Linked DNA regions of Diceros bicornis minor. The protein of the gene in region 3 purifies or fractionates together with the protein of the main gene of each other region. This does not show direct contact. Links are inferred from orthologs where the notes say so. Each region holds a gene or a part of one and is shown on either strand. Other genes may lie near its edges.

The links. The genes of interacting proteins can lie anywhere in the genome.
Region 1: the proteins of AGO3 (region 3) and TNRC6A purify together in Homo sapiens (affinity purification with mass spectrometry; 7 studies listed by BioGRID and IntAct, with this or other methods). This does not show direct contact. The link is inferred for Diceros bicornis minor from reciprocal best matches to the Homo sapiens genes AGO3 and TNRC6A.
Region 2: the proteins of AGO3 (region 3) and DICER1 purify together in Homo sapiens (affinity purification with mass spectrometry; 3 studies listed by BioGRID and IntAct, with this or other methods). This does not show direct contact. The link is inferred for Diceros bicornis minor from reciprocal best matches to the Homo sapiens genes AGO3 and DICER1.

What each region holds. Positions count from the first base shown.
Region 1 is NC_080765.1:27,283,148-27,293,600, forward strand, and holds the start of TNRC6A (trinucleotide repeat-containing gene 6A protein), read right to left. Parts: upstream 4,472-10,453; 5' UTR 4,348-4,471; coding exon 4,343-4,347; intron 3,978-4,342; coding exon 3,930-3,977; intron 1-3,929.
Region 2 is NC_080763.1:40,755,865-40,766,512, forward strand, and holds the start of DICER1 (endoribonuclease Dicer), read right to left. Parts: upstream 4,472-10,648; 5' UTR 4,227-4,471; intron 1-4,226. UniProt on the Homo sapiens protein: Double-stranded RNA (dsRNA) endoribonuclease playing a central role in short dsRNA-mediated post-transcriptional gene silencing.
Region 3 is NC_080752.1:50,186,524-50,196,902, reverse strand, and holds the start of AGO3 (protein argonaute-3), read right to left. Parts: upstream 4,121-10,379; 5' UTR 4,054-4,120; intron 3,735-4,053; exon of another isoform or gene 3,581-3,734; 5' UTR 3,393-3,580; coding exon of another isoform or gene 3,389-3,392; coding exon 3,370-3,388; intron 1-3,369.

The sequences.
Region 1 (10,453 bases), on a different chromosome or scaffold from region 3:
GGGTCAGAATACTGGCTAGTCTCTATTTAATGTCATGGTCCAGCTCTAAATACTCAATGATTCTATAGCTTTGGCCTCCAAAATATTTTTAAAAATTACATCAGTTGAGTTAGACTAGAAGAGATTTTTTACAACTGGAAAGTGTAACATCACCTTCTCTACAGAAAGTCCTATTTCTGTTCTGACCTGTTCAGAGGCTAGGTCAATCTCCCATTCACCCAAGACCCCTGTGTATTTAGACTCCTCTCACAACTAATCCCAGATTAGTCAGCAGCCAAATCCCAGATTCTACTTCCCCAGTATCTCACACTCGCCCCTCTTTCCTACCACCACTTTAATTCAGGTCTTGCCTAGATCACTAGTTATCATTATTCTATCATATCACTACCCACCCAAAAACATACAATAGCTCCCCACTATCTAAAGATTCATGTAAAAATTCCTCAACCTGATATTTAAGAACCTCTGCATCTGCTCCCAACTTTATATGCCAATCCAATGAACTACTCACTGCTATTTAAAAATTCCCTGTACTTTCTGGATTTTGTGCCTTTTTTCTGCTCCTCTTCTTACACTACCCTTTTCTCTGCTTTTCAAAATTGATTCCATTCTTTAAAGTTCAGTTCCAACGGTGAGAACTCCCATGTAGACATTATAGTTCCCTCTTTTGAACACCCATGACACTGACTATAAAGTGACAATTTTAATGGCCAACAGTGAATTAAGAAAGAGTTTACCTAGGGTAGTAAACTAAATTTATCTTTTGTGCCAATTTTGTTTAAATGGCACTGGCTACCTGGCACACTGTCTTGAGGAGGATTTGCAGCTTTGCAGAGGAAAAGGAGAATGGAAATACATCTCTGATATTCAGAGACAGAGCTTCCAAACTAGCGGTCCACAAAATAGAGTTTGGACTTTCATGGTATTAAAACGTTTAAATTGGGGCCTGCCCCGTGGCTTGGCAGTTAAGTGTACACGCTCCGCCACTGGCAGACCCGGTTCGGATCCCGAGCGCACACCGACGCACCGCTTCTCCGGCCATGCTGAGGCGGCGTCCGTCCCACATACGGCAACTAGAAGGATGTGCAACTATGACATACAACTATCTACTGGGGCTTTGGGGAGAAAAAGGGAAAAAAAAAAAAAGAAGAAGAATTGACAATGTATGTTAGCTCAGAGCAGGTCTTCCTCAGCAAAAAGAGGAGGACTGGCATGGATGTTAGCTCAGGGCTGATCTCACCCCCACCCCCCAAAAAAAAGTTTAAATTAATTTAACATTTAAAGATTTCACCTTAAAAATCCAAATCTTCAGTTATCTTCACGAAATGTAAAGATCTAAAACAGTGGTTCTCAACTGGGGGTGACTCTTGCCCCCCAGGGGATATCTGGCAATATCTGAACACATTTTTGATTGTCACAACTGGGTGGGGAGTGCCACTGGCAGATGCTGTCCAGCATCCCACAATGCACAGGGCAGACTTCACAACAATAAATTTTCTGGTCCAAAATATCAACAGTACCCAGGTAAGAAACTCTGATCTAGAAGAACTGCACGTATCTGTGGGTTCTGCCTCCCCAAGGAGATTTTCAAATTTTTCAATGTAAAGAACCACGCCTCTAGTAAGAGACAATACAATATAGTTCAAAGCTCGACAGCTCCTCCAATTACTTACCAGTGGTGTGGCCTCCTGAAAGTTCCTTAACCTCTTGGTGTCCCAAATTCTTCATCCATAAAACAAGGATAATAGTACCTACCTCACACAGTGTTCCAGGGATCAGATGAGTCCATGTAAAGTCTTCAGAAAAGAGTGTCAAGGCAGATAGAAGCATTCAATAAATTTAGCTACTGCCATTCTTCCCCTCCCTAGTGCCTAGTCTCGCACTTGGAACATGGAAGATGCTCAAGAAATGTTTATTGGAAAATAATGCCTTGACTTCCTGGGGAGAGCACGAATGGGTCAAGACAGATATACTCTTCTTATCTGGGAAAAAGGAAGCATAGAACTAGAGAGAATTGAACGGAAGCAGTTGCCCACCTAATCACATCTCTCCCTCCTCAGAACACTTTCACCCTTTAGGAAATGTTCCCCTCTCATGGTCCTTAGTACACACTGCCTTGTAACCTCCTTGACACTTATTTTTCCTTTTCGTTCCTTCTGACCAACTGAAGATCCTCAAGTATATCAATGGGATGGTATCTTCTTCTGATCCCTACATCACTGACCTTGTATTAGTTATTTAATACTTATTAGTTTGCCTACCAGATTGTACATGCTCTCTGTGGCCTTTTTATATGACTCCCGTGACTCCCTTTACATAACCCAAGGGCCTACAGACCTTTGCAACTGGCTGGCCCAAACCTCTGTTTTATAGATTAGGCACAGAGGCTAAGTGATTTGCCAAGAGTCAAGGTCATATTGTAAGTGGCAGAGCTGGGATTCAAATTCCGATACAGAAACTCCAAGTTCTATCCAACTGTAATAGTATATAAAAATTATACCTGTGGTAGACACAATTTTTAATTAAGTCCCAGAAAACCTCCATAGGAATTATACTGATACAATTACCTGACAAAGCAAAAATGGAAGGAGAAACAGACCCAAACTCCAAGCTCCTTTCTGCTGCTGAAATTACACCTTAAAAACTCAACCTGTTTTCTTTCATGGTTTCATATCTTAACATTTAATAACTTTTGACAATAAAACTTACTTAAATGTCCAATGAACAGTTACTTAGTCAGTGATGTCAGGGTTAATTTCCTTTAAATGATCCCATAATTATTCTGAATAACAAAAAAATCTCTTATTTGGTAAGCCAATAATGCCCATCCTTCACCAACCAAACAGATTCTTTAATGATCACCTTAACAGATTAATATCTATAAAACTCAAAAGACCAGCAATTTGGAATGATTCTATGTGGTGAAAAGTAACCAGACGATTTGATTTGTGAGTGTTAATAAACCTCAACATAAATCTAAAAACAGTCATCAAGCACAAATTATATTAAGAACTGAGATAGGAGAAATTTTATTTCATTCTATCCAAGTGAAAGCTGCTCACTGATTAAATTAATCTAGAAGTTTCTCGAGTGTCCCAATATGATGCAAAAGAAAACGGCGAATAAGAAAGGAAAAGACTGTAAGACAACATGAATGTGAAAAAGAGTTAAATCCAGTGCAATGCCCTGATGCTTAAGCAATTACAGCTCAATAACGCTGAATATTTCCATGAAGGCATCGTTTAAAAAACAAAAAACTCCCTTTGTGGCGATGATTTAAGATACCAGTGCAAAAGCACTCAGGCCCAAAAGCAATGATAACCACTTAATGGGAACAGGTTTTTAATTATTTTACCGGCTATTAAAAGGGCACACATCGAACGTAGACACAAACGTAGTTTCAAAAAAAAAAACAAAACAGTTTATGCTTGGTAAAGTTCAAGGGCAAAACTGTTTCCACTGCAACAGAACCCGCCTGACTACAATGTGCTGAAAAAAATGCGAACACATAGTATCTTTTTATAAGGGCAACAATTTGAGTTACAAAGTAATAACGGGGAAGCCAAAACAGTTTGACAGCCCGCCATAAGGGCCGCCTCAATCATGAGTCACACAATGCCTGCAACCATTTACAATAGTAATTAATGCACAAGTCCCCTAATTAAATTCTAAAAGGGTAAGAATGCTTTAACTAAGTTTACAAGAATTGCTTTTCGCTGTTCCCCCCCCACAAAGAAAGGAACACACGCGTAATTACGCATCTCCCCGGAATCCCTCCATCCAATATTCCCTCTGGCCTCTTCTCCCGAATGCCTGTCCCCTGCGTGCGAAAGAAAATGACACGGGGGAACTTATAACCCCAGAAAGGGCGAACCAGAGTGGAAATACACGATTAACGGGGCGAGAGACGGAAAGCTCGCCCATCTTACCTGCTAAGATTCCTTTCTACGTCTTTGGTAGCTTTAGCTTCCAATTCTCTGGAACAGAAAAGAAAAGAAAGAGTGAGAGATGCGCGTGAAAACGGAGCTGCTGCGGCAGAGGCTCGCGCCGGAGCCGGATGGGGGAGGGGAGGGGCGCCCGGGGGGGCTCACAAAGCTGCGGGGCTGCAGCCCGGACTGCGGGCAGGCGGCGCGGGCGAGCCGCAGCCCCCGGCCCGGCCCCAGCGGCGCAGCGCGGCCCCTCCGGGCCTGCCGCCCGGCCTCCGCAGCGGCGCCGCCCGCGCCCCCCGCCAAGCCCCGAGGTCCCCGGGACGCCCGGCGCCGCCGCCGCCGCCCCCAGTCGCGGGCCCTGCGGCAGCGCCCGAGGCTCCTCCCGCCCGGAGGGAGGCCCCCGCCCCGCTCACCTCATGTGTGTAAAGTGCACGAGCAAGTGGGGCGCGGCGAGTGAGGCTCGCGAGCCTCAAGCCCTCCGCAGCGCCGCGGGGAGAGGCCCGAGCCGCTGCACCAGCGCCATTTTCTACACCGACCCGCTGCCGCCGCCGCCGCCGCCGCCGCCGCCACAGCCGCCGCAGGCCTCAGACCGGAAGTGAATGCCCCACTCGGCAACCCCTTCCGGGGGCGCCGCGGCCGGCGGCCTCAAGATGGAGGCCCTAGCAACTGGACCCGCAGACGGGGCAGGCCCTTGGCAACCGCCCGGGCGCGGCGCGCGGCCCCCCGCCGGACCTCCCTGGCGGGCCTCACAGCCTCCGAGGCGCCCCGCGGAGCGGCTGGGGGGCCCGCCGAGCCCCGAGCCCAGCCTTTCTCGCCGCGGCCGCCTCTGATCTGACTCGAGTCCCTCCCCTCCTCCTCCTTCTTTGCTGCGACACAAGTTTCCTTCCCTGCCACCCGGCCCCTCCCCCACTGACACACACATCAAAAAAAAAAAAAAAAAATCGCCTAAACCGCAAATTCTACCCTTGCTGCAGGGTGATGAGCCCGCTCCGGCTTTTGAAATCCGCCACTTCTAATCATTTTTGACCTTGGGCCAATTATTTAACCTCCCTGCTTCTCTGTTTCCTCCGCAGGTAAAGAATGCGTACCTGAGGCGGGCGGTGAGGTTTAAAAGCGATTTGTATCTACCGAATTTTGCAGACCATTGACTCGACAATTCCACTTGCCCGAATTTCTGTTCAGAAAATAATCTGAGTTATCTGCGAATATTACACCGCCAAGATATCAAGTCCGGGCATTGATGATAGTAAAAACTGTAAACGGCTAAAATGTCCAACATTAGGAGGTGGCCTTAAAAACCGAACTCCTGGTATGCCTTAGGATACTGTAAAAATGATGTGGAGGAAGACTAACGGAATGGGGAAAATGGTTACAGTAGAAAAGGTGAAAAAGCAGGTACCAAAAGTGGCTCACATGGTAAAAAAACATATAGACACAGTAAGATACATACGTGTAGATAAAGTTAAAAAATAATACCTACATGTGGATACAAGATGCTTACATACCTACAGGTAGATACAGCAATATACATACATGTAGATACAATAAGATACATATATCCCTGTGTAATATGTGTGTATTTTTTCCATCCTCTCACAATGCTTTTTTTTCCTAAAGATAAATCCTCTTCTGCTTAAAATTCATTCCTTCTCGGAAACCTCACTCTATGGATCATACCATTTTCCTCTTTCTAAATAGGTCCTTCCACTGGCTTGAGAACATGCCCAAATCTCTCCCATTAAAAAAAAACAAAATCGCCTTCACTGCCTGGTTCCTAACCACTTTGAGGGAGATGTGTAATAAATAAGTTAATGAATAAATGAATGGATGGATGCACAGAAAGTCCTAAAGCATATGCACCAAAATATTAACTGATGACATTATGAGGTTTTTAATTTTCTTCTCTTAATGTATCTGGCTTTTGGGGGGTTTTTTGTTTGTTTCATTTTTATACAATGAGCATGTGAAAAAAGGTTTTTTTAAATCAAGTTTACAAAATATAAAATGTAGGGACCACCAATACATGCTAGTGACTTTCCTTTTCCTGCCATCATCCCTAAGGTTGATTCATCCATACATGTATTTGGTTTGGTTTTCTTTTATTGTTCTTTCTACTAAAATGTTAAAAATTATATTACAGTATCTCTTTAGGAGTTAAAAAATACTAACATGTATGTATAGCACAATAGGCTTTCACACCAGGTTCATGAATAATTTTCCACAACAGCATAAGGCAATGAAAACAGTAGTATTTATCAACATTTACACAGGTAAGATTAGCTGGTTTGTTGTTGTTGTTGTTAGACTTTCTTAGGTTTGAATAACTCAGTGGTTCTCAATTGGGGCAATTTTGCACACATCCCCCCCAAAGGACATTTAGCAATGGCTGGTTTTTGGTTGTCACAACTGGATGCTACCGGTTATCTAGTGAGTAGAGGCCAGGAATCCTGCTAAACATCCTACAATGCACAGAACAGTCCCCCACGACACAAGAGCATTTGAACCAAAATGCCAATAGCACACAAGGTTGAGAAACACTGGAACTAATTCCCAGCCCCAGGGAAACTGAGGAGATAGAATTTCTTGAAGTTCTTTCCAGAGTGGTTGACATGTCCCATATGACCCCTTCAGGGCTGCATTATGAAGTCAAACTAATCACTTTTTAATGATCTCTTACTTAAACTTGGTGCATAAGGGTAGGTCAAAGAAGAATGACAATATAAGATCAGCACTGATTCCTTATCAGGAACCTACTAAGGGATCTTCTCCTCTTGTCATTCTTTCTCTTTATTAAATAATTAATCTCTCTTTATATTGAATATTTCCCATCACCATACAAACATATTCTAGTAACTTCCACTAAAAAAAAAAAAAATGCAAACAAAACCAAAACAACTTTGTTGATGCTTCATTCCTCTCCAGCTTCATTGTTTTGCTCTCCTTCCCAGCAAAGCTTCTTGAAAAAGTGTTCTACGCCAGCTGCTTCCAGCACCTCCTTTCCCAACTCACTCTAAGCTGACATCCCTCACTTCTCCCTCAAAATCACTCTTATCAAGGTCACAAATGACCTAGAAGCCGCAAACTCAATGGTAACATTTCTATTCTGATCTTCATTTATTTCTTAGCTGTATTTGCCACAACTACCCACCCCCACCTTCTTAAGAAGGTCTCTTTTCCTGGCTGTCTTGGCAGCACATTCTCCTGAATTTCTTTTTACCTCTCTAGCCATTCCTTTGTTTTGTTTCCTTTGCCAGCATCTCTTGCTTTATGCCTATTAAATGTTGGAGGTCCCCAAGGCTCTGTTCAAGACTTTTCCCTGTCTCATCTCCACTTTCTCCTTAGAATGAGTGATCTCATCCATTCTCCTGTATTTAAATACTATCTAAATGCAGATGACTCTCACATTCATATCTTTAGCCCCTATCTCAACTGTGTACCCTAGAATGCCAAAATGACACTTCCCCCGGGCAACACATATTTATTGAGCACCTGCTATGTACTAGGAAATGTACTAGGGCCTGGTTCTCTGGCACTTGTAAGGAACCTTTCTGGTGGATTAAGTCTAATGCAGGAGACAGATTTTTTTTTAAGAAAACTATAAAGCTTATAAGTAAAAATTATGACAAGTGCACAGAAGGAAAGAACTGTTGCTCTAAGAAAGTGTAAAACAAAAGAAGATGACACAGATTGTGTGGTCAAACAGGGTTTCTTTGACAGTGTAAAGCTTCAGTTGAGAGCTGAAGGATGAGGGGCAGCCAACTCAGGATCCAGGGAACAGCAAAGGAGGGGTCTCAGGCTGGAGGTTTAAATTTATGGGTCCTCATTGTGAATGAAAACAGGCTTCCTATTGTATTTGGCTTTAAATCCAGTGGAGCCACCATTTTTATTTTACTTGCATAATCAATTAGGAACAAAACCAGAAACAAGGTCCTCTGTAGAGTAATGGGTTTCATTAACACAGCTCATTTGAGTAAGCAAATGCCATTTCCTACAACAGGCATATTTTCTAGATTAAGTGAATATTAGAGTATTTTCCTTGCCTCATGGTTGAGGTTTACAGTTCGAGAATTTGTATATAACATTAAATGTCTTTCCTACAGTAACTTTCTATGGAATAGCTTAGGAAGAATCTGTAACTATCTTAGGAAGCTTCTTGTTGCTTCTTAGTGACCATAATAAGAAACAGAGGCTGTACAAATTTAAACTTAAAACCTTTTTGCCACTTGTCTTTCTTCCTTGGGTTTTTCGTTCCGTTGGTTTCTGATTTTACCAGAACATAAATGTTCTTCAACCCTCTCTTCTTTGTCTTCCTGAGAAAGGTGAATGATTAGCCTAATACTTGGAAAATTATGTACTTGAAAGAAAAGCATTCTTTTCTCCTAAGGCTCTACCAAATACCATGTTGAGATATACATGTATTTTTTTAGGCAAAGCTCACTCAAAATATTTTTAAATTTAGGAAATTTTCTGCAATAATGTATAAATGGAAATTGAAGACATGAACATGCATAAGATTTCCTGGAGAGACCGTATTTATTTTATCTAACTAAAATTTATTTGGTACTTAATATGTGCCAGTCATGTGCTGTTCTAAGTGCTTTACAAATATTAACTAATCGTTATTGTTGTGCTCACACAGCCCTATGAGGGAGGATGTTAGCCCCGTTTTACAGATGACAATAATTAACTTGGCCAAAGTTACCTAAATAGTAAGTGGTAAAACCAAGCATTTTGGCTCCGGAGCCCAGATCACTAACCACTATATTGTAGATCGGTTTTTCTCAACCATATTAGATGCTGCAGCCCCTTTTGATGAGAAATACTTTGTAACACTACCCCTTACTATTCCAAAATGATAATCATAGATAATATAATCTATCTAAAACATAATTTAAAAATCATATATAATGACTTATCACTGACATAAAGGAGAAAGAAGAGAAAAGTAAGTATAGCAAAATAAAATGTCTTTCACTATGTAAATGCTTGAGAATGTCTACACTGGAAGACACAGTAAAGTAGGCAGATGCTGACAGCTATGTGTAGAATCACTACTACAAATGCAGACTGACACAGCAGTGTGGGATTGATTACCAATACGCCAAAAACTGTAGTGATGTTGGAGACGTAATTTATCTGGAAGAGAAAACAACTCTCAGTCAAGTTCTGAACCACTAGAAAACAATTCTCCCTCGATTTACGTGGTAATTGCATTACTGGAAATTTTAGGGTATATTAAGACTGACAAAGTGAGGTGTTAGGTCCTCAGATAATTATAAACATGCCTTTTGCCTATGTGAGTGTTCAGTGAGAGGGGGAGTTCTCTATTGTGTGGGACTATCGCTGTCTGGCATCCGTGGCGCCTATCCACTGAAACTTAATAGCACAGCCCCACCTTTTTGTGACAACCAAAAACACTTCACTGGTTTCCCCAACCCCTCTGTGGAGGGGAGGTGAAGTATTACTTTGTTGAGAACCATTGCTATGGAGTGAGAAAAGAGCAGAGGAAGGAATGCTGAGGAAGTCTGATACTCCAGTGAAGAATCTAGAAAGGTAGGATTAACAGGATTAAGTCTAGTATAAGGGGGCCACGTGGTGCCTCTCAGACTGACGGGTCAAAATTTAGTCTCCTTATTCCTTCTCTGTCCCTCTCCCCCCACCACACACAAACCTGCCCCAAAATGGACAGTTTTCTCCACGTCGGTATAACACTACCAGTTACCAAGCTGCCGCAGCCAGAAACCTGAGTCAGTTTTGACTCTTCCCTCCCCTGCATCCGTGCATCAATAAGTTATTTTGTTTCCGAACTTCACTTATTCTTTCCTTCCTCTGCTTCTCCACTGCCACCCTCAGTACACTCTGAAAACTCCACAGATTCTTTTTCTTCCTCTTTTTTTTTTTTTTCTGGTTGTGGTATATTTTGCATACAATAAAGTGCACACATTTAAAGTGAAAAATTCAATGAGTTTTGACAAATAAACACACTTATGTAACCATTACTGCAATCAATGTATAGAACACTTCTGTCACCCCAGGAAATGCCCTTGTGCCCCTTTTCATCACTTATCTGCTCCCTGCCCTCCCCCGCACTGACACACACACCCCCCTGACACCAGGAAACCACTCTTCTGATTTATATCACTATAAATTAGTACTGTCTGTTCTAGAACCTCATATAAATGGAATCATACAGTATATATCCTTTTGTGCCTGGCTTCTCTTGCTGAACTTAATGTCTCTGAGGGTCATTCATGTTGTTGCATGTATTAGAAGTTCATTCCTTTTTATTATTGAGAAGTATTCCATTGAATGAATGTACCAAAGTTTGTTTACCACCCTCCTGTTCATTGACATTTGGGTTGTTTCCACTTCGGGGTTATTATGAATAAAACTGCTATGAACGTTCTTGTACAAGTCTTTTTTGTGGACAGTAGACATATGTTTTTATTTCTCTTGGATAAATAGCTAGGAATAGAATTACTGAGTCACAGGATAAGTGTCTATTTAGCTATATAAGAAACTAT
Region 2 (10,648 bases), on a different chromosome or scaffold from region 3:
AAAATGTACAGCAACGTTGCATACTGAAGGAGAACCAACAATTCACTGACAATTTTAGATAAACAGGAAAGCCGTTTTGTACTCAGAATTTATTTCAACAAAGGCCTTCTTTCTTGACTGAAAACTTCAATTTCAGCAGCTGGACCTCAAAAATAATGCTCTTCTCTCCATCGTGCTCGAGTCCTACTTTCATCCATCGTGCTTGAGTCCTACTTTCTAGACCAGCACATATTCCTAAGGATGGGCAGAGAGAATGTGGAAAACCCTGACAGCCTGTACCGTCCAGAAAGGAGTGCATCTGTGAATGGACTCCTATCCAGCATCTGGCAAAAGCCTGAATGAGACAATTGGTATTTGACAGACGGCATATGAAAGATAAACTAACTAAATTCTAATAATTCAAGTCACCAGAACAATGTACACCTCTATTACTAAAGCTTTTCTATTATGCCTGAGGCTTTTATCCAGTTTCTCTAAAATGGCACGTGAAAAATGTTTCTCTATCACTGTAAAATGTAAAACATTTTCTCCACATATTGTTAATGTCATTTTATGTAAGAATTTAAACTCTTATTCTTCATACGAGAGAAAAGTCTGCTTCTCCTGATTAATTGGTATACTTCCTTTCATTCATCAATGCCAACTATAATTAGTCCTGTTTCCTCTCTTGCTTTGACTAATAAAATTTTTTTAAAAAAGCCTTGAGTTACAGCAGATGCTGAGCTATCCTTCCCCAAGCTCCTCATCAAATTCCCTGCAGCTCCCTCCACTCTACCCCTCAATCTTTACCTTTATTTTCATAGTCCTCTCAAACACCTATTCTATGACCATCTCAAATCCTTTCTTGAAGTAGACAAATAATAAAACATCTGCATCCATTGGGCTTTTAGAATGAGCTAAACTCCTAAACATCTAAAAAGCAGAGCAGAAGGTAAACAGGATAAGCCACTTGGCTCCAACTCACTTTTTGCACAAGTTCAACGCGGACCTTACTGGTGCCTTCCTCAGCATGCAACAGAGCCAACACAGCTCCATGATGATCAACTGAACAAATCCAGTTATCTGAATATCTACCCGCCAAACACTAAGAGGAACTGAGATCATAAAAAAGAGTAAATCCTGGGCCTCAAGGAGATTAAGGTCTTTTACTGACACAGAGGAATTGTTTGTAGGAAAGTATAACTATCTGAAACAGCCCTGAAAAAACTCATATTGCAATAAATGCCGAGTCTAGTGTTTTGATGATCAAGAAACAATCTGACCACTTCTGGGTATATACCCAAAAGAAGTGAAAGCAGGGACTCAAACAGATATTTGTAAACCCATGTTCATAGCAGCTTTATTCACAATAGCCAAAAGGTAGAAGCAACCCAAGTGTCCATCGATGGACACACAGATAAGCAAAATGTGGTGTGCGTATATACAAAACGAAGTATTATTCAACCTTAAAAAGAAAGGAAATTCTGACACATGCTACAACATGAATGAATCCTGAAGATGCTATGCTAAGTGAAACAAGCCAGTCACAAAAGGACAAATACTGTATGATTCCACTCATATGAGGTTCCAAGAGTAGTCAGATTCATAGAGACAGAAGTCAGAAGAGTGGTTACCTGGGGCTGGGAGGAGGGTGGAATGGGGAGTTAGTGTTTAATGAATAGAGCTTCAGCTGAGGAAGATGAAAAAGATCTGGAGATGGATGGTGGTGATGGTTGCAAAACAATGTGAATGTACTTAGTGCCACAAACTGTACACTTAAAAAGGGTTAGAACAGTAAATTTTGTTATGTATATTTGACCACCAAAAAAAAAATCTGACTTATTCAGATAATCAGAGGTCCCCTGAACATTTAAGGGTAGACAGTTTCACTTATTCAACAAGTATTAGCTAAGGTCTGACCTATGTGTTATGCAGGTTTTCCCCTAAAATCCACTTGGAATAGCAATGCAATACAACACAAGGACTCTGAAATCAAACCATGATTCAATCCTGGCTCTGCCACTTCTAGAACCATAACTTGGGGCAACTATCTCCGAGTCCTAGTTTCCTTGCGTGTACAATAAGGACAGTGTTGAGTTTGTCTCAGGGTCACCATGAAGATTAAATGAGAACGGATATAGAGGCACCTGAAACATCCTGGCACATAATAAGCAGGCACTTATAAACGTTATCATTCTCTCCTTTGCCACAGTGATGACCACAGGAAGCTAAGGTCACAAGTGAGAGAATGTCTATGAAAAACCTACTTTCTCAAACAAAACAAGCATCTCCTGTGTCAGACAGTGGCCGGGAATAAATATCTCAGTGCCATAAAAGTCATCCTTCCTAGAAGGCAGCACTACTCTAAAAGTACAACCCACCATGTAACACCACAACATCACCATCTAACAAGAATCATGAACCACATCAAAATAAAAGCCTTCCAAAGCCAAGACAACAAAACTCAGCAACGGCAAAACCGCCTCGTTATACAACTCACACACGGGGCCTCAGACCTAGCACAGCAGACAACTGAACCTTCAGTGATGAGATGAGAGCATAAAAAGTAAAACAAGCCCTTACTAAAATAACTGCAGGAAAAGACGGTCTTTTCTCCCCAAATTAAATTCAACTAATACATCTTTACTTAAAACAGCATTTTGATGCCATGAATTAATCCATGAACCAAAATTACCAATTTAAATGTTTACAGCGACCCTATTAAAAGCAACCTTTTAGTATTTCTAATCTATAGACAGTTTTATAAAATATGGCCTAAAATAAAGTTTCAAAACAATTATGTGTGTGTGTGTATATACAGCACATATGACACATAATATACACGTGCCACAGGTAGCTAGCTAGCTTTAAAGACACTCTGCAAAATAAAGACACTCTGCAAAATAAACAGATTATTCTAGAACCTAGCTAGTTCCAAAGATATTAGTGATACTAAAATTACAACTTACTAGCAGCCTCATTCAGAATCCTGTACCATCATCCATCCTTCAATAAATTATTGGAGCTCTTGGTTAAGATGGGTATTTTTATTTAGAAAACTTAATGTTTACACCAACACATTTTCAACTTAACCTTTTATTAAAGCATTTTTTTAAAAAATACTTTCCAAGTTTCTTAACTCCTAACTTCTGCCGTTTTCCCTTCACTGAGTGCGCTGTACTTGAAAAACAAGCGACACGAAGACAACTGAAAATCAAAACCGTCAAGATTCAGAAAATCCAAAGACAGAAGCATCTCAAAGACACAGACTTCAAAGTAACACTCTTGAATAAGATGAATGTTTTTAAACCGTGAAAGTCTAAGAACGCTTAGACTTATCTTGTGGGTCAGTAACGTGTCCCTTTAAGCACGACTTCCCCACAAAAGCACTGACCGAACACCATAGAGCCAGGAGTCCCCACTCATCTGTTTTTGCAAATCTTCAGGCTATTAAAGATGCATTAAGTGGTTTGTTAGCTCCGTGCTGCGGGCAAAGCCATCGGGGCAGCTCAGCTTTTCTAGACAATCTACAGAAATCTCACGGTCTAACTTAAAACATACACTGATTTCCTAAAGATTAAAAATCCTTAAGAAAGGCTCCTTGGGCAGGGTCCAGGCGTTTGGGTACAAAAACATCGGAGGGGAGGGGCGGAAAGATGGCCTCGGCCACCCGCCCCGTGGGACCCAGATCTGGTCACCTGCCAATAAACACGAACAATCCTCCGCGGGCGGGCCCCGAAGCTCGCGCTTTCCTGCCAGCACCGACAGCCCGGCTTCCTTCCCTCCCAGCCCTCTCCAAGGGGTCCGCGGAGGCCCAGCGGAGCGGCCCCCAGCAGGGCAGGGCCCGAGGATGCTCCAGGTGCCGCTGCGCACTCCGCACCTCTCGGTGCGCCACCCGACCCGTCAGAGCCCCGCTCTCCACGGGCTGCGGGCGAGCGGGGAGGACAGGCTCCAGTCCGCGTGCCCACCCGCTGCCCGGGCGAGCGCACGGGGTCCCTCCACAGCGCCCACCCAGAGGGCCGCCGCGGTCGGGGAGGCGCAGAGCCCGGCGGGGGCCCCGACCCCGCAGGCCGCGCCGCCCGGGACCAGGCGAGGCCGCGCATCGGCCCGCGCCGGTGTCCCCCGCGGGCCAGGCCGGAGCGCGGGCCCAGCGCGCCCATGCGGGCCTCGGCGTGGAGGCGGGCGCGGGGCCGGGCGGCGCCGCTCCCCGCCCCGACACAAAGCGGCTCCGCGGGAGCCCGCCTCACCTGCAGCACGGGGCGCCGCGGGCCTTCGAGAACCATCGGACCCCGCTCCGGCGCGCGCGTCACAGCCCAGGCCTCCCGGTGCCGCCCGGCGCCGCCGCCGCCGCCGCCATTTCCTCCCGCTCGCCGTCGCCGCGTCCCCGCTGTCAGGTTACTCCATTCACCTGGGCCTGGAGCCGCCTGCGCCGCGCCGCGACCCCTCCCGCTGGCGCCTGCGGAGACTGCGCAGCGCCCGGCTCGCCCGCAGCCCGCGCACGGCCCGCGGCAACGGCGCACCGCCGCTTGGAGAATCCCACCGGCGCCCGCGCCGCCCCGCCGCGCCCCCACGCTCCGCTCGCCCGCGCCGGCATGAGAGCGGGCCTGTGATTGGACGCGGCGCGGCGGTGAAAGGTTAACCCCGGCCCCCCAGCCACTCAGGAGCCGGGAGACAGCGGACGCGGGCGGCGGAGGCCCAGGCGGCGTTTGCGGCCCAGCGCCGGGACTGGAGCCGGCCGCCCACCGCCCGCCGCCTCTGCAGCCCCCGGGCCCCGCGCGCTGAGGCGGCGGACGCTCGCAGGCTGGCAGAACTTCCTGGCTCTCTGCATTCGCCCGCCTCCATTGTTGCCCGTCTGGCACCCACCGCCCCCTAAACGTGGCCCTGCCCCCCGGCGGTGATTGTTCTCCCGAGGGCTGCGCGCCCCTTTTGCCACTCCCCCCTTCACTTTGTCAAGACCTTCCCGCTTGCCTGCTCGTCCCCCGCGTTAGTGGTGCAGGGCCCTCCGCAATTGGGGAGACGACAAACCCCACCCCACTCCCACCCCGGAACAGGGATAACCAGAAAACGAGATGGGGACAGCGGCCCCGGTTATGTAAGTCGTTCATTTGCTGGGGTCGCAACCGTGTACCATACCTTGTAGCTGTGAATTAAAACCTGGAGGTCAATTAGGTGACTAGCTTAAAGAAAGTCCTGTTAGTTTATCCCAAAGTGTAGGCAGCTCTGCCAGAGGACTCAGTGATACACTGGTTTACTGCAGAGGAGGGATGGTACCAGCAACCATACTTCTGCTAGTAAGAGTTAGCTCTTGGCACCTACTCCCCAGACTGTCTGGGTTTGCGCGGTTCCATACAGTGGTTACTAGCCCCGTGTGCCTACTGAGCACTAAAAATATGGGTAGTGCTAATTGAGACGTGCTAGTTGGAGCTCAGATGTATGTGTTCTTTACCAAAAGAGAATGTAAAACATCTCACAAATAACTTCTTATATTGATTACATGTGGAAGTGATGTTTTTGATATATTGGGATAAATCTAGTTTCATTTTTTTTAATGTGAGTAATAGAAAAATTTTAATGTCTTAGGTGGCTAGCGTGAATTGACCAGGGTAGTGTAAGCCTGTGATCTTTATGTGGAGCCTGTGAGGTAGGTGCTGTGATTGCCCCCTGTTTTAACAGATGAAGAAAATTAATAACCTCCATCAGGTAAGCAGCTACTAAGTGAATAACTGAGATTTGAACCCGGGTAGTCTGGCTTCAGGGCTGATGTATTCAGTCACTGCGGTGATCAAATTTTAATCATATATTTACTGTAAATTGGTCAGATAGAAGTTTCACCTAAACATAGAATGTTCATGGGCAAAATTAGGAAGTAGTCAGAATGCTCTTGGCAGACCTCCGTAAAAATAATGTTTCTTGTATGTCAAGCACTGTGGGCAGTAGACCTCCCCAGTCATATGCGTAAAGGCTTTTGGGAGATAATCCTTTATGAGAAGGATGGCATCTCAAGGCGGGGGTAGGCACCACGGTCCACTAGCAGTGGAAATTTGTGGGCAGGTAAAACTTGCATCCCCTCCTGCTGTTGCCTCAGTCTGTCAAGATCAGCTGGGTTTCTCCATCAGCAGGTTTGTCTGATTTTCATCAATTTTTTTAATTTTTGAAATAAGTGGTACAACAACTCGATTAAAACATGGGCAGAGGATCTGAACAGAGATTCTCCAAAGAAGATATACAGATGGCCAACAGGCGAATGAAAAGATGTTCAACATCACTAATTATTAGGGAAATGCAAATCAAAACCACAGTGAGGTATCACCTCATGCCCATCAGAATGGCTAGAAGACAAGAAATAACAAGTGTTGGAGAGGATGTGGAAAAAAGGGAACCCTCATAGACTGCTGGTGGGAATGTAAACTGGTGCAGCCACTATGGAAAACAGCAGATTCCTCAAAAAATTAAAAATAGAGCTACAATATGATCCAGCTATTCCACTTCTAGGTATTTATCCAGTGAACACAAAAACACTAATTTGAAAAGATGTATGCACCCCTATGTTCATTGCAGCATTATTTGCAATAGCCAAGACTTGGAAACAACCTAAGTGCCCATTGACAGATGAATAGATAAAGTTGATGTGGTATACATACACAATGGAATACTATTTGGCCATAAAGAAAGATGAAATCTTGCCATTTCAAACAACATGGATGGACCTGGAGGGTATTATGCAAAGTGAAATAAGTGAGATGGAGAAAGCCAAATGCCATATGATTTCACTCATATGTGGCAGATGAAAAAACAACAGACAGACAAACATATAGATAAAGAGAATGGATTGGTGGTCACCAGAGGGGAAGGGGGGTGAGGGGAGGGCAAAAGGGGTAAAGGGGCACATTTGTATGGTGACAGATGGCAACTAGACATTTGGTGGTGAACACGATGTAGTCTATACAGAAGTCGAAATATAATGATGTACACCTGAAATTATATAATGTCATAAACGTATGTTACCTCAATAAAAAAATTAAGTAGTACATACATATGGTGTATCCATCAGAAAGCATAAAAAGGTATACAGTAAAAAGAATATCTCCCCCATACCTGTCCCCATGCCTCAAACGGTAACCATTGTTTCTTGCTCCTTCTTCTAGAGAACTTTTTTATGCATATACAAGCCAAGACGTTCCTCATTTACAAAAGTGATAGTGTGCCATACACGTATACTATACCTTGCTTTTTTTACTTAATATATCAAAAAGATATGTCTACAGCAATATATACAGAGCTCCTTGCTATTTTATTCAATCCCCATAACATTTTGTGTGTGTGTGTGTGTGAGGAAGATCAGGCCTGAGCTAACATTCCATGCCAATCCTCCTCTTTTTGCTGAGGAAGACCGGCTCTGAGCTAACATCTATTGCCAATCCTCCTCCTTTTTTTTCCCCAAAGCCCCAATAGATAGTTGTATGTCATAGTTGCACATTCTTCTAGTTGCTGTATGTGGGGCGCTGCCTCAGCATGGCTGGAGAAGCGGTGCATCGATGCGCGCCCGGGATCCGAACCCGGGCCGCCAGTAGCGGAGCGTGCACACTTAACTGCTAAGCCACGGGGCCAGCCCCCCAATCCCCATAACATTTTATTACAGAGATGTGCTATAATTTATTTAACGAATTCTCTATTGATGGAGATTTAGACTTCCAGTCTTTTGCAATAAAACACTGATCCATTTGGAAATGATTCAATATATGGGGTGAGGTATGGATCCAAATTAATTTTTTTTCTGGATGGCTACACAGTTTGCCATTTATTGGCCATTGTTGAAGAGTTCACTTCTAGGCCCTGTATTTTGTTCCAATGGTCTATCCATGCTCCAGTTGCTGGTTTGTTTTAAATCTGGAGACATAAAATCTTGTAAAGGATAACATTTCACACTTTGTATGGATCACTAGAAATCTTGGAGCTAATATTTCAGCTCATGTTAAGCAACAGTACAGTACCATGTGGTATGCATTTTCTGTGTGCTAATTTTTATTTTCCCTTTGCCATGATTATTTCTACAATTTGTTTTATTTTTTGTAGCACATTCCAGGATATAAATATACCTTGTTTAAGACTCTCTGTTTGCAAGTAACAGAAACCATCATGAAGTAGCTTAACCAAAAGGGAAGAGTTTGTCATAAGGATGTAGGAGCTTCTCACAAAAGCCAGGAGCGGGAATACAGGTACATCTTAGCAAATAACTGGAACCAAGAATTGGAAAGCTTCCGGGAACTTAAAAGTTGCTCTCTCTGTCCTTCTGTGATTCTTTTTTGTGATTCTGCTTCATCTGTGTATCTCCCTCTACTGACTGATTCTGCTTTTTCATCTACATAGGAGAATATAGCCACCCTCATGTTCAGCTAGGAAGTCAGCCCCGTGTGGAGTCAGAGCCCCAACAAGGAAGGTGGGGCGGCTGTCCTGCAAAGGTAGGTGGCCATCTACAGGGGGACTACACAAAGAAAAAACTATATGGAAGATAATGGAAGCCAGAGTTCTCACTGTTGGAGAAGGGGCTACAAATACAGAACAGGGAAAAGCAAGAAGGCTTGAGAGATTGGATTGGAATTAGAAGTATTGATGTGAATTCAAAGTTTTCAATATATATAGATATAAAAATAAATATAAACGTAGAAGTATCATATACAGGAGCCTGGAACATCTTATTGTGCCAGAAAGTATGAAAATGCTCAAAGAACGATAGAGACATTTCAAAAGGACAAAGCAGTCAGCTTGAAGGGGCTCCCACTGGCCAAATCTGGGAAATTTGAGCATCAAAATAAAATATGATAGTAAGAGATTATATTCCATTGGAATAAAATAGAATCCATGAGTCCAGACTGATGTTTTTTAAAAATGAATAAATAAATGGGGAAAAGAGACAGCTCTTCCTTAGAGTAGACTGTAACTAATAAATTTAGAAGGAATAATGGAATTAGAAAGTCACCATTTGGCAATCGTCAGACAAGAAATAGCAATATTTGCTAAATCTAGTGGGTAGAAGTTGGACAAGGAATGAGATATTTGCATAGGTTCAAAGCATGTCCCCGTAACATTCTTATTTTAAAAATGAGAACTTGACAAAAGAGACTCTAGCAGACACCACCTTACTCGAGTACTCAAAGTTAACTGTCATGCAAGGGTCAGACACACACCCCACCGGTGCCACATGGGGTTTTTGGGGGGAAACTTACATGCAGAGAAGTGGCAGAGTGCATGCTGCCCCCTGAACTTAAATTGTTGCACGGCATAGGCCAAGCATAGCTGCTGTGTGTGCACTGTGGCCAAGGTTCCAGCAGCCAGGTGTACAACAGACAGAGCCAGAGCCCAGGATGGAAAGTGGGCCCCACTCCCACACTGTGTTACATATTTATATGTTAGCCTAATTGGGCTTAGGGAATTCCTAGTTTCTCTGAGTAGTAAGAAATACATCAAAGGAAACCCCAGGTAGAGTGCCAGGAAGTAAGCACACCAAGGGCCAAGGTCTGCTCAGAGGGCCCTGGGGACAGCCTTGCCCACTAGGAATATTGACACTGGCCCAAGGTCTGGTCTCTCTGCAGACCTACTCAGTCCAGCTTAGCGGGCTCTCAGCTCTGCTATGAAAAGAGGGACGGAAAGGAGCCTCCAGGGCCATCCAGATTCGTCTCTGATCATTAATGTCACCTGTGATGGGACAAATCAACATCAGGTGCTACAGCGTCGCTTCTGTAGTATTTCTGCCAAAAATGCATGTTTTGAATATTAGAGGAAACATTGGACAAACTCAAATTGAGTGTTAGTCTACAAAACGATTGGCTCATAATCGTCAAAAATTTTAAGATTATGAAGGTCGAAGAAGGACTAAAAAACAGTTTTAGAATGAAGGACACTGAAGGTACATGACAAGTAAGTGCAATGTGTAATCCTGGTTTAGATCTTTTTGCCCTAAAAGATATTATTGGTATAATTGGTGAAAAGTGAATGGAGTTTCTGAGTGAAGGGCATATGGAGTTCTTTGTGCTTGTGTATTAGTCAGAGTTCTCCAGAGAAACAGAACTAACAGGATATATAGATAAATATAAGAGGAGATTTATTATGGGAATTGGCTCATGCAGTTATGGAGGCCAAGAAGTCCTACAGTCTGCTGTATGCAAGCTGGAGAACCAGGAAAGCTGGCAGTATAATTTAGTCTAAGTCCAAAGGCCTGAGAACCAAGGGGCCATTAGTGTAAGTCCTAGAGTCTGAAGCTCTCTTGTCCGAGGGCAGGAGAAGATGGACATCCCAGCTCAAGAAAAGAGAAAGACTTTGCCCTTCCTTTGCCTTTTTGTTCTGTTCAGGCCCCCAACAGATTGGATGATGCCCGTCCACACTGTGGAGGGTGGCGGATCTCATGACTCAGTCTACTGAATCAAATGCTAATCTCTTCCAGAAACACGCTCACACATACCCAGAAATTATGTTTTACCAGCTATCTGGGCATCCCTTAGGCCAGTCTAGTAGACACATAAAATTAACAATGACAACTTTCTTGCAACTTTTATGTTTGGAATTATTTTCAAACAAAAAGTGAAATTAAAAGCAAGAAAAAGAAGTAAAGCTGTAGAAAATTCTAAAGAATCTGCAAAAGACCTACTAGAACTAATATATGAGTTTACCAAGA
Region 3 (10,379 bases):
GGAGGATTGGCAATAGATGTTAGCTAAGAGCCAGTCTTCCTCAGCAAAAAGAGGAGGATTAGCATGGATGTTAGCTCAGGGCTGATCTTCCTCACACACAAAAAATTAATTAATTAAATACTAAACTGAGAAACTAATGGCATTATATATTTTAGTATTTTGAACCCACTTTTATCCACACTTCATTCAAATCGACCTTCCATACATGCAATTTTTGTTTCTTTGGAACTTGTTCTTATATGACTTCTCTTAATTTTTATTATTAAAGAAATGCAGAGGGCCAGCCCAGTGGCGCAAGCGGTTAAGTGCTCTCGATCTGCTGCGGCGGCCCGGGGTTCCCCGGTTTGGATCCCGGGCGAGCACTGACACACCGCTTGGCAAGCCATGCAGTGGTGGTGTCCCATACAAAGTGGAGGAAGATGGGCACGGATGTTAGCCCAGGGCCAGTCTTCCTCAGCAAAAAAAGAGGAGGATTGTGGAGGAAGATGGGCACGGATGTTAGCCCAGGGCCGTCTTCCTCAGCAAAAAAAAAGAGGAGGATTGGTGGATGTTAGCTCAGGGCTGATCTCCTCACCAAAAAAAAAAAAAAAAAGAGGAGGATTGGCAGGTGTTAGCACAAGGCTGATCTCCTCACAAAAAAAAAAAAAAAAGAAATGCAGAGCCTTAAAATAACTATATTCAAGCACAAATTTAAGAGTATAACTAAGAAACAGTCTATTCACTTTTGCAAGGTTATATAAGACAACTACCAAACGTGTCAAATCAATTTGCATATCATTAATTTAAGGTGAAAGTAAATGTTTTTCTTCCATTGGTAAGTAGTACAATTCGTTTTGCCCTAAACAGTAGTCTGACTTTACCCAAAAATACAGACTAGAATAGTACAATCCTAAAAAACAGCTACTCAGGAGAAGTGATATCTCAATGAATACTTCTGCTTTCTCTATTCCCACTTTCTTTGGAACTAAAACAACATATACTCTTAGTCCAGCTAACAAATAGGGTTTCATCAGAAGTTCCCCTAAGTAGTCATAGGCACAGATGCTAAACTACTGATTATTATTATTTAAAAACCAATTGTGCCAGCTTTTTTGGTTACATCAAAGTTCACACAATACTAAATCAGTAGATTGTACAGGACACCCTTAAAAATCACTTAAAATATTTCATGCAAAAGGAAAGAATAAATATTAATTTTTAGTGAGGAATGACTCACCAAGAAACAATTATAAAGTAATTGTATTCGAAGTCTTCTAATGTAAATAAATTTGTTTTCTATGTATCCACCTAACAACTAGAATTTAAAATACCCTGTTACAAGATGATTCTTAAGAATCTCCACAGAAAAGAAAAACTTAGAACAGAATTGGAGGAGTAAGATCCAACACTATTAGAGACCATTTACATCTAAAATTTTTTAAACCAAAATATGTATCTGTCAAATTCTTGATTTAAAACTTAGTTGCACATTTTTCCCAATTATGCCTTCAATTTCATGTGCAGCATAACAATTACATGTAAGTATCAGGTAGAATGGAAATTTTGTTTTCGATGATGATGATCTTGAGCCAAATTATACTTATCTTTATCATCACATTACAGTCAATCATGTATAAACTGCACTGAAGAATAAATTTTGCGTTTCAAGATGCCCAAGCATATGGTTGATAACTCTAACTATACCTCCCCATATGTGAAGACAATTAAGTGGGTATATATTTCAGCAATGGTACATGCAAAAAGAAGAGATAAAACTTATCTGTAGCTCAAGAACTCACAGGAGCATTTACTGAATCATACTTGGCTAGGTGGGCCAGTTGGCTAGGTGGTTTGACTTCAGAAGTATTTTCTAAGATGCTGTCCATATATCTGGGCATAATTTCATATGAAAAACCCAAAGGAGAAAAAGAAACAAAACTTAAAAAAATTTTTTTGAAATACCTTTAAAAGTTTTAGGATGATTAATAAAGTGTTTAACTTTCATGTTTTGTTTTCCGGGCTTGACAACAGGACAGTTATGTAAAAATCACCTATAGACCCGAATCATCACGTTTCCTAAATAGTATAGTAGAAAATTGAAAAACAAAGGCAGGACACAGTTTCAGAAATACACAAATCAATGATAAAAAATGAGAATCTAAAACTCTTCACAACCTAGACAAGCTTTCTCTTCTACAAAGAAATGAAGGTAAAAATGGAGAATGCGAAAGAGAAATGGTATAAACTGATTAAAGAAAATTCCATATAATAAAACTTGTAATAAACTCTTCTCCCCATCCCATCTCTACAATTTCTGAGTGCTTTCCGTATCTACTTAACAATTATACTCCTTAACCCAATCAACAAATTCTTTATCATCATTATGTCACTGGTTTCTTTTATGTAAGTTTTTCTTATCTCATATTTAGGTACCTCCCAAATTGGCAAAACCAGATGTGAAATTCAGGGACTTGTGATACCATTAGTAACAAGACACCCCCCCCAATATTCTGAAAATTAATTTATAAGTTTGTGACTGTCTAGATGAAGCATACTTTCAAATTTAACATACAAAGCATGACGATTTGGAAAGCAAACCGTTATGTAACACTTACTTTACGTCCCTCAATTAATTACTTTAGAACCATAAAAGAGTGCTCTTTCTTTTTTTAAGGTAAGTACTGCCCATGTTGCAATTTTTCTCAAGACTGCCGTTTTTCCCAAGCAGAGAAAGCAATTTTCTTAATTTCCAGGAACATGACAACTGCTTCTTTAGAGAACAGGGAATGAAAAAAAATATACTGTCAGCAATTTTAAGATCCACCTCCTCACACAAGCAGTGATCCAGGCTGATATGACATTTCCAAGATCCTCAGGAACTATATACCATGCTGCCACAAACATCAGGAGAGAACTCGGGGACGGAAGAAATGCCATCTTGCATTTGACGTTGCTCTAATACCTATTTCAAACTTAAGTCTCCTCCGTTATCTCAACGTATCTCCACAACTAGCTTAAGGGGCAAGGGAGAGGGCTGGTCGCCCAGCGCCTCTATGGGACACACAACCCGGTTAAAGGACACGCACACCGCTACATCTTCAACGGGAATAACAAAAGCGATGGCAAAGCGTTCTAGACTCCCGAAAGGCTAATACCCCCCAGAGAACCCCACACTTCAATCCTTTAAGCAATGTCCCCTCCCGCAGCTTCGCCTACTCAGGGGCCCCGGGGAACTGCGGCGGGGCTGCGGGGCGGCGGCGGCGGGGCCGGGCGGGGGCGGAGAGGGAAAGCCGCTCGGACGGCGCTCACCTCGCGCACCTGGGCCAGGGTGGAGGGAGCGACGGGCCTCTGGGGACACCCCCAGCGACCGGGCCAGCAGCTCTGACTCACCTGCGGAGCCGATTTCCATTCATGGAGCTGGGGGGAGTGCTTCGAGTGAGAAGGGCGTCCGCCACTGGGGGCAAGGAGGCGGCGCAGGGGGCGACGCGGCGCGACAGGCACCCTCACTCAACCCCGAGGCGGGGTAGCGACGGCTTCTCCTCAGCAACCGCACTCCGAAGGCTCTCGTCAGGAAGAGCCACCGTCGGGAAGCAGCACAGGACTATACGAGAAGAAGGAGACGCGTGAGGCGAGGAAGGGGAGCCCCGTGCGGAACTTGCGTCGCCCAGGGCCGCTTACGCTCCCACTGCCCCTCCACGACTGCGGCGCCGCCGCCGACCTCCCCGGGGGCCGCCCCCGGAAGTCCGCTGGCGTCAGTTCCGCTGCCCCGGCTTTCCCGACATCTAAGCCTCGCGTCTCCGCCCCAAGCCGGGCTGGCGCGACGTCGGTGCGGGCGCGGCCGGAGCGGAGACTCAGGGGAGGTGTCGGGGAGCCGGCGCCGAGCCTGGGCGGAGCCTGGGGCACGCGCGGCCGGAGGCTGGGGAGCTGGGCGGAGCGGGGCAGGGCCGGCCCTCCAGCGGTTCTCCGCTGGGCCGTGCCGGCCGGAGACAACCCGAAGAGGCAGGACCCCTCGCGCCACCCTGGTGCACGGCAGTGCCTGCCTGAGGCGACGTCGCAGAAGGCGGCATAGCTTACCTGGGGAGGAGCCCGCTGGAGCGAGGCTGCTGAGGTCCAGGACCCAGACCTGCAGCTGAGAGGGCCTCCAGGCCCAGCACGTCTTGGGCAGGGCCACCCTCCTCCCCGAGCCCCTCCCGCCACGCCCAGTTTGGGCGGTCCCACGCGCCTCCTCCTCAGCAGGCGGTCAAGTGACCGCCACTGTTGATCACTCCAAGTCCGTAGGGTCGCTCTGACTTTTTTTTTTTTTAGGGAAAAAATGTGCAATATAATTTGGGTAAAGATGAAGGAACAGAACATTATACAAATATCAGGTCGAATAATTTCCATATTTAAAAGTCCTGAATAGCGCCTCGTCACACTGAGAAGACCCACAACTCCTTTCCAGGGCCAAAACACGGCGCAACGGGGCCCCAGCCTTTCTCCTCAAGCAAGACTCCCTCAACGCTATGCTACAGCTATACTGGTCTGCTTTTAATTTCCCCAACAGGCAAAGCGCTTCTCTTTCCGACCTGGAGCCTCTCTTGCCTTTGGTTCCCTTGGCCAGTAACCCTCTCCTTTTCTCTCTACCCTCACCTTCTCCCCTTCCTTCGCCGCCGCTTCTTATACCCCAACGTCAGACTTATCTCTGAGAGACCTTTTCCCAGCCACCCATCTACGGTGTGGGGGCACCCCTTATTCTATTACAGTATTTCCTTAATAACCCTTTTCCCAATTTGTAATTCGTTTTAATAGTTTGTGTGCCCCCTCCCCCACTAGAATGTAAGCTTTATAAGATTGCCAGGGCCATTATACTAATTGGCAAATAGTAAATCCTTAATATTTGTTGCCTTAATGAAAGGTGATACTACTTTTTTCAGGCAGAAGAATGATTCATGAATTTTCCCTATGCCCCTAAGTATCAGTAATTTTGTTTAGACTTCTGAAAAGTCAAAATAGATTCTCTTTTTAAAGCTTGGGACAAAGAGGAAAAGGAGAAAAAACATCCCATCTTCGGTTCCCCCCAATCTCTGTGGGACTTTGGATCAGTCACTTGACCTGTGGGCTTCAGTTTCCTCCTCAGAAAAACGGAGAGAATAACAGATATCTTATACAATTGTTGCAAGGTTAGGAAATATACATTAAGCACAGAGAAAACCCCCCCTAAATGTTAATGAATTAAAAAAGTATTTACTATAGTTACCATTTTAAAGCACTTCTTACATGCACCTACCATACAGTAAAAGCTTAATAAATGGATGGCATTCAAACCCACATCTGACTCCGATTCTGCCTTTTTCCTTCCCACCTCTACCCCTTTGAATGAAACTGCCCTCCCCAATTTTAATATTTGAAATTAAATGTCACCAGATGAAACACTCTATCTTAGTTATTTTCAATCCCTGACTGTACACAATCCAAGTCAGTAGCAGCATCTGACAAGGTTAAATATCAACTCTTGTGAAGGGTTTATCACACTGTCAACCCTCCCTGAATCTGAAACTGGTTCCCGAAATGATTGCAGGCTTCTTTGGCTTCTCCCAATGGTGATGGTGATAAACCCTGGAGGTAGGCCACTGGCTTCTTTGTTGACATTGATGAAGCAGGATTTGGACCCTCTAATTCGGGCCAATTTAATAAATGTCAATGATGCCTTCCCATCTATTTCTGCAACCCAGGGACGCCGCCTCTTTAGAGTTAGCCCATGTGGAAGGTTCATGAATTGTAATATCAGAAAGTGAAAAGGCAAAAAAGTTTAAATAATTCTGCCAAAAGCGAAGTTGTATGAGGCTCTCCCCTGACCACACAAACTCCTGTATTTTTCGATAACCTCATTCCCAAATGAATCTGCTCTTAAGGGGCATAGAGCAGGGTCTTTGTGTATCTTGTTAACTGTCATAGCACCAGTGCCTAGAACAGTGCCGCACATAGCAGCATTCAATAAATATTTGTGGGACAGATGGATGGATGAATAAATGAGTGGGCTTCAAAAACGGGGCTCAGGAAGCAGGCTAAAACTCTACCCTCATCCTTTGTGGCACTAGTTGCTCTCAGAAGGGAGACCTACAGAAATAGTACAGAAATCTCAGGAACAAGGAAATCAGTGCCCTCTGAAAGTGGCATTCCTAGGCTTCCTGTGCTAGATAAACATCATCACTGGATGAGGAGAGCTTCTAGATAGAATCCTCTCCTCTCACATGGGCTCAAGTTAGTCAACTTGACACGAATTCAAACCTCTTCTAGACCAGCAGTTTTTACACAGCAGAAAGAAAGTTACTTTGCACTGCAGCAGACACATTATAAAACATACTGCCTCTAGGGACAGAGCTCAGACAGAAGGCCCTCTGCTACCATCTGTGATTCTAGGAAAGTCACTCTCTCTGAGCCTCACATTCCTCATCTGTAAAAACCAGAGTACCTACACAGAGCAGACACTGCTGGATGCCTAGCCAACAGCCCTTATCCCCTTCTTTCTTGCCTAGCAGAAATGACTCGTCTTTCTAATCCACATGACTCACAGAGTAACTCCTAATTAATCTAAGCCACGCATGATGGACAATCTAATTTGCTTTGCCAAAGACAGAATAGGAGTGGAAAGATGATCCATTTCTAGCAAGTGAGACGTGAGGCCAGATCTGCTGGTGCTTCTAGGGATTTCCTCACTTTAAAATGAGACACTGGGAAAAATTAGTCCCTCTTCGGCTAGACACCTTCTGTCAGCATTTCCTTCCTGGAATTACAGTAGTCATCTTGGGACCCTGAGGTGAACTAGCATGAAGATAAACCAACACAGAGGATGGCAGAGCAGAAAGACTGCAACAACCTGGTTTGTCGGTATTATCATTGAGCCAGTGACTTAACCAACCTTGGAGCCATATTAAATCAGGACTTCTTGTCAAGTGATAGTTTCCTTATTTAACCCAATTTAATTGGAGTTTTGTTATATACAGTTGAAGGTAACTGATAAACTACGTCACGTGAACGCTGTGAAGATGCAATTAAATAATAGATACTGTACAAAACATGTAGTACAAAAGTTCAAAGTACCCAACTTCCTCCTCCTTTTCCAGTTCACTTCCATTAACAACACACAGGCCTTTTCCAAAAACTTGGCTGGGAGCTCCCATTGCCTCTTTTAAGAGGAAAGTTCCTTGCCTTAAGAAGGAGGGGAAGAGGTATGGAGGGCTCCCTAGAAAGGTCCCTCAAGACCTCTTTATCCCCAAAAAACACTGCCAAGAGGACAGTGTGTTCCTGCAGGGTAAGCCACAGTGGCCTAAAAAACCTTGATATCGTGTCCTGGGGAAAGCAGTCGTGGTGCTTAAGTGGAGAACTTCTAAATGCACCTCATCTCCAGCAAGTCCACTTTTCCAGCTCCTCCTTCTTGACATGGATGCTTTAAAGCATCTATGCTTCTGTCATGCTCTGTGCATCTTCTAAGCTTGCCAGATTTCCTCAGCCTATAGCCAGAGGAATAAATGTCCTGAAAGCCAGAAACAAAAAGGGAGAGCTAATTTTCCAATTCAATGCTACTCTCCATTCAGCAGTACAGACAGCAGCTTGGGGGTGGCCCAGGCTCAGAACTTGAAAGCAGTCTTCTCTTTGCACTATAACCCTTTCCTTGAGCCACCAAACCATAACTGCCATGAGATTCTGGGGTCTGCTAAGCCAAGAGATAACCCAACAAATACCCAGCCTCTCTCTGCACCAAGGCACTTGCTAGACAAGAATGTGCTACAGTATATGTTGCGAATTGACAAGACAAAGGGAAGGCTGCTCAACCAATACTAAAGGGATGTCCAGGGGTACTAGGACAAGCCTTAACTCAAAACCTTGAGCTCCAGGACCAGAGAAATCAGGCCTTGGGCTCTCACCATCTTTTTCTCTTGAGTAGCAACCAACAGCCAAATCCTGAAACCTTTTAACATCAATAATTTCTAGGTGCCGGCTCCGTGGCATAGTGGTTAAGTGCTCGCACTCTGCTGCTGGCGGCCCGGGGTTTGGATCCTGGGCAAGCACTGACGCACCGCTTGTCAGGCTATGCTGTGGCGGCGTCCCATATAAAGTGGAAGAAGATGGGCACGGATGTTAGCCCAGGGCCAGTCTTCCTCAGCAAAAAGAGGAGGATTGGTATGGATGTTAGCTCAGGGCTGATCTTCCGTATCAAAAAAAAAAAAAAAAAAGTTTCTAAAATTTATGGCAAAAATACGCCATAATGAGCATCCTCCCACTCCCTCTGCTAAATACTTTATTTCTGCTTCATTAAGGGTCATAAATTTATTTTAAGTCTTATTTCGACTGGGAAAAATCTCCTTCATGTTCCAATTTGCTCTTCAAGTTCAACCAACCTCATTAACTCTTGCTGCTGAAAAGGAGCATGGGTCTGGCTGGCTTGCTCCCAAGGGAATCTGGCAGGTGGTAGCCATAAGTTAGTTCTGCAATCTGAAAAGTCACAACACTTGGCCTCCAGAGGAATGCTAGGCACTTATGTACACACTAGCTGCCACTGAAAATTTCTCACTGGGCTCTACGCCAGAATCCTTCTCTGAGCCATCTCCTCAGCAGTACACAGAAATAACAAGCTCTAGCAGTACCAGGGAGGAATGCCAGAACTTACATGCTTGACAACTGTACCATCAGCTTACGGGACAAAACCACAGAGCCTCCAAGTTGGAGTGAGAGTGAGAAATGATGGTAATCTAGTTAAATTTCTGCTTACCTGAAGATTCAGGAATGCTGAGTCCATCCTGTGCACTCAATATCACTTCTTGATTCCCCCTACTCTGTTTTCATGAACCACATATTTCTAGCTCATTTCAATTCTATTCACAAATATTGACCCCTTGATATATATGCTATGGCCCTGAGATGAAAAAAATGAATAGAATGTAGTTTCCACTCCTCGGAGTTCACAGGCTCTGGGGAAAACAAGTCATGAAAATAAATAGAGCAAGCTGCTAAGTGCTATTGAGTGCACTGGAACACCATTTATGACACTAGTTAGGAACAAAATTAGGTTTGTTTATTTTATTCTTTTACAAGTATCTCCTGAGGACAGGAGGGAGGTGGAGGTGGTGGTGGTGATTGTGGTGAACGACATGGAAGTCCTAGTCCTAGCCTTATTTAAATTAGGTTTTTCCAATGATTATTTTCAAGAAATACTGGAGAATGACCATATAGTTATAAGATCCCAGAGAAGATGGGAGGAGGATGGTAAACTAAATAGAAAAAAATACCTTCTTCTCGCTGCAGTTCATGCTGTTAATCACGCCCTTCTTGGATCCTATTTCACTCTCTCGATTCTTCTCCCACCTTATTAAATCAGTCAAAAATATACAAGGTCTTGGGCCGGCCCGTTGCTTAGCGGTTAAGAGCGCGCGCTCCGATACTGGCAGCCTGGGTTTGGATCCCGGGCGCGCACCGATGCACCGCTTCTCCGGCCATGCTGAGGCCGCATCCCACATACAGCAACTAGAAGGATGTGCAACTATGACATACAACTATCTACTGGGGCTTTGGGGAAAAAAAAGGAGGATTGGCAATAGATGTTAGCTCAGAGCCGGTCTTCCTCATCAAAAAGAGAAGGATTAGCATGGATGTTAGCTCAGGGCTGATCTTCCTCACACAAAAAAATATATATATACAAGGTCTCTACTAGTTATTTGACAGTCATCTTAGGCTCTGCTTCCCCCCCCTCATCCCTTAAATTGTGTTTCCTAGAGCTGTACACTATGTTTCTCTTGCTCTACTCTTTTTCTAAGCCATCTTGTGCATGTCCGTGGATTCCTATGGCTGTAACTACCATCCAAATGAGTAATTCCATATCTATAACTGCAGTTTTGTAGACTTCCTTGAGCACCAAAACGTAAGTGTTTACTGGAAACCTTAACCTCGTTGCCCCATGGGAAGCTCAAAATTCAGTTTATACAAGGCTAATTGTCTTTATTCACAAAATTCATCACCTTCCTTCTAGTTTCCCCTTTCCCTCAATCTTGGTTAGAGGAACATCCCAATATACTCACTTGTTCAAGCAGAAACCTGGGCATTAGCCTCTACTTCTCTCTTCTCCTTCCATCATCCATTGAGTCCTATTAATTTTACCGCCTGAGTGTCTCTCAAATCTGCCCTTTCCTCTCTATCTTCACTGCTATAGCCCTATAGCCTTGTTTCAGTCCCTCATCATCTCTCTCCTATACCAGGGGACCATTTGGCTACTCATATCCCCCACCAAACTTTAAGCTCCTTAAAGAGAGAGACACTGTTTTCCTCGTTTTTGAACCGTGCCTGACCTCTTTCCCCAAATGCTGCTGGACACAGCGCTTTGCATGTTTGTTGAATGAAGAATAAATGGAGGCCCTGTGAGGTTATGA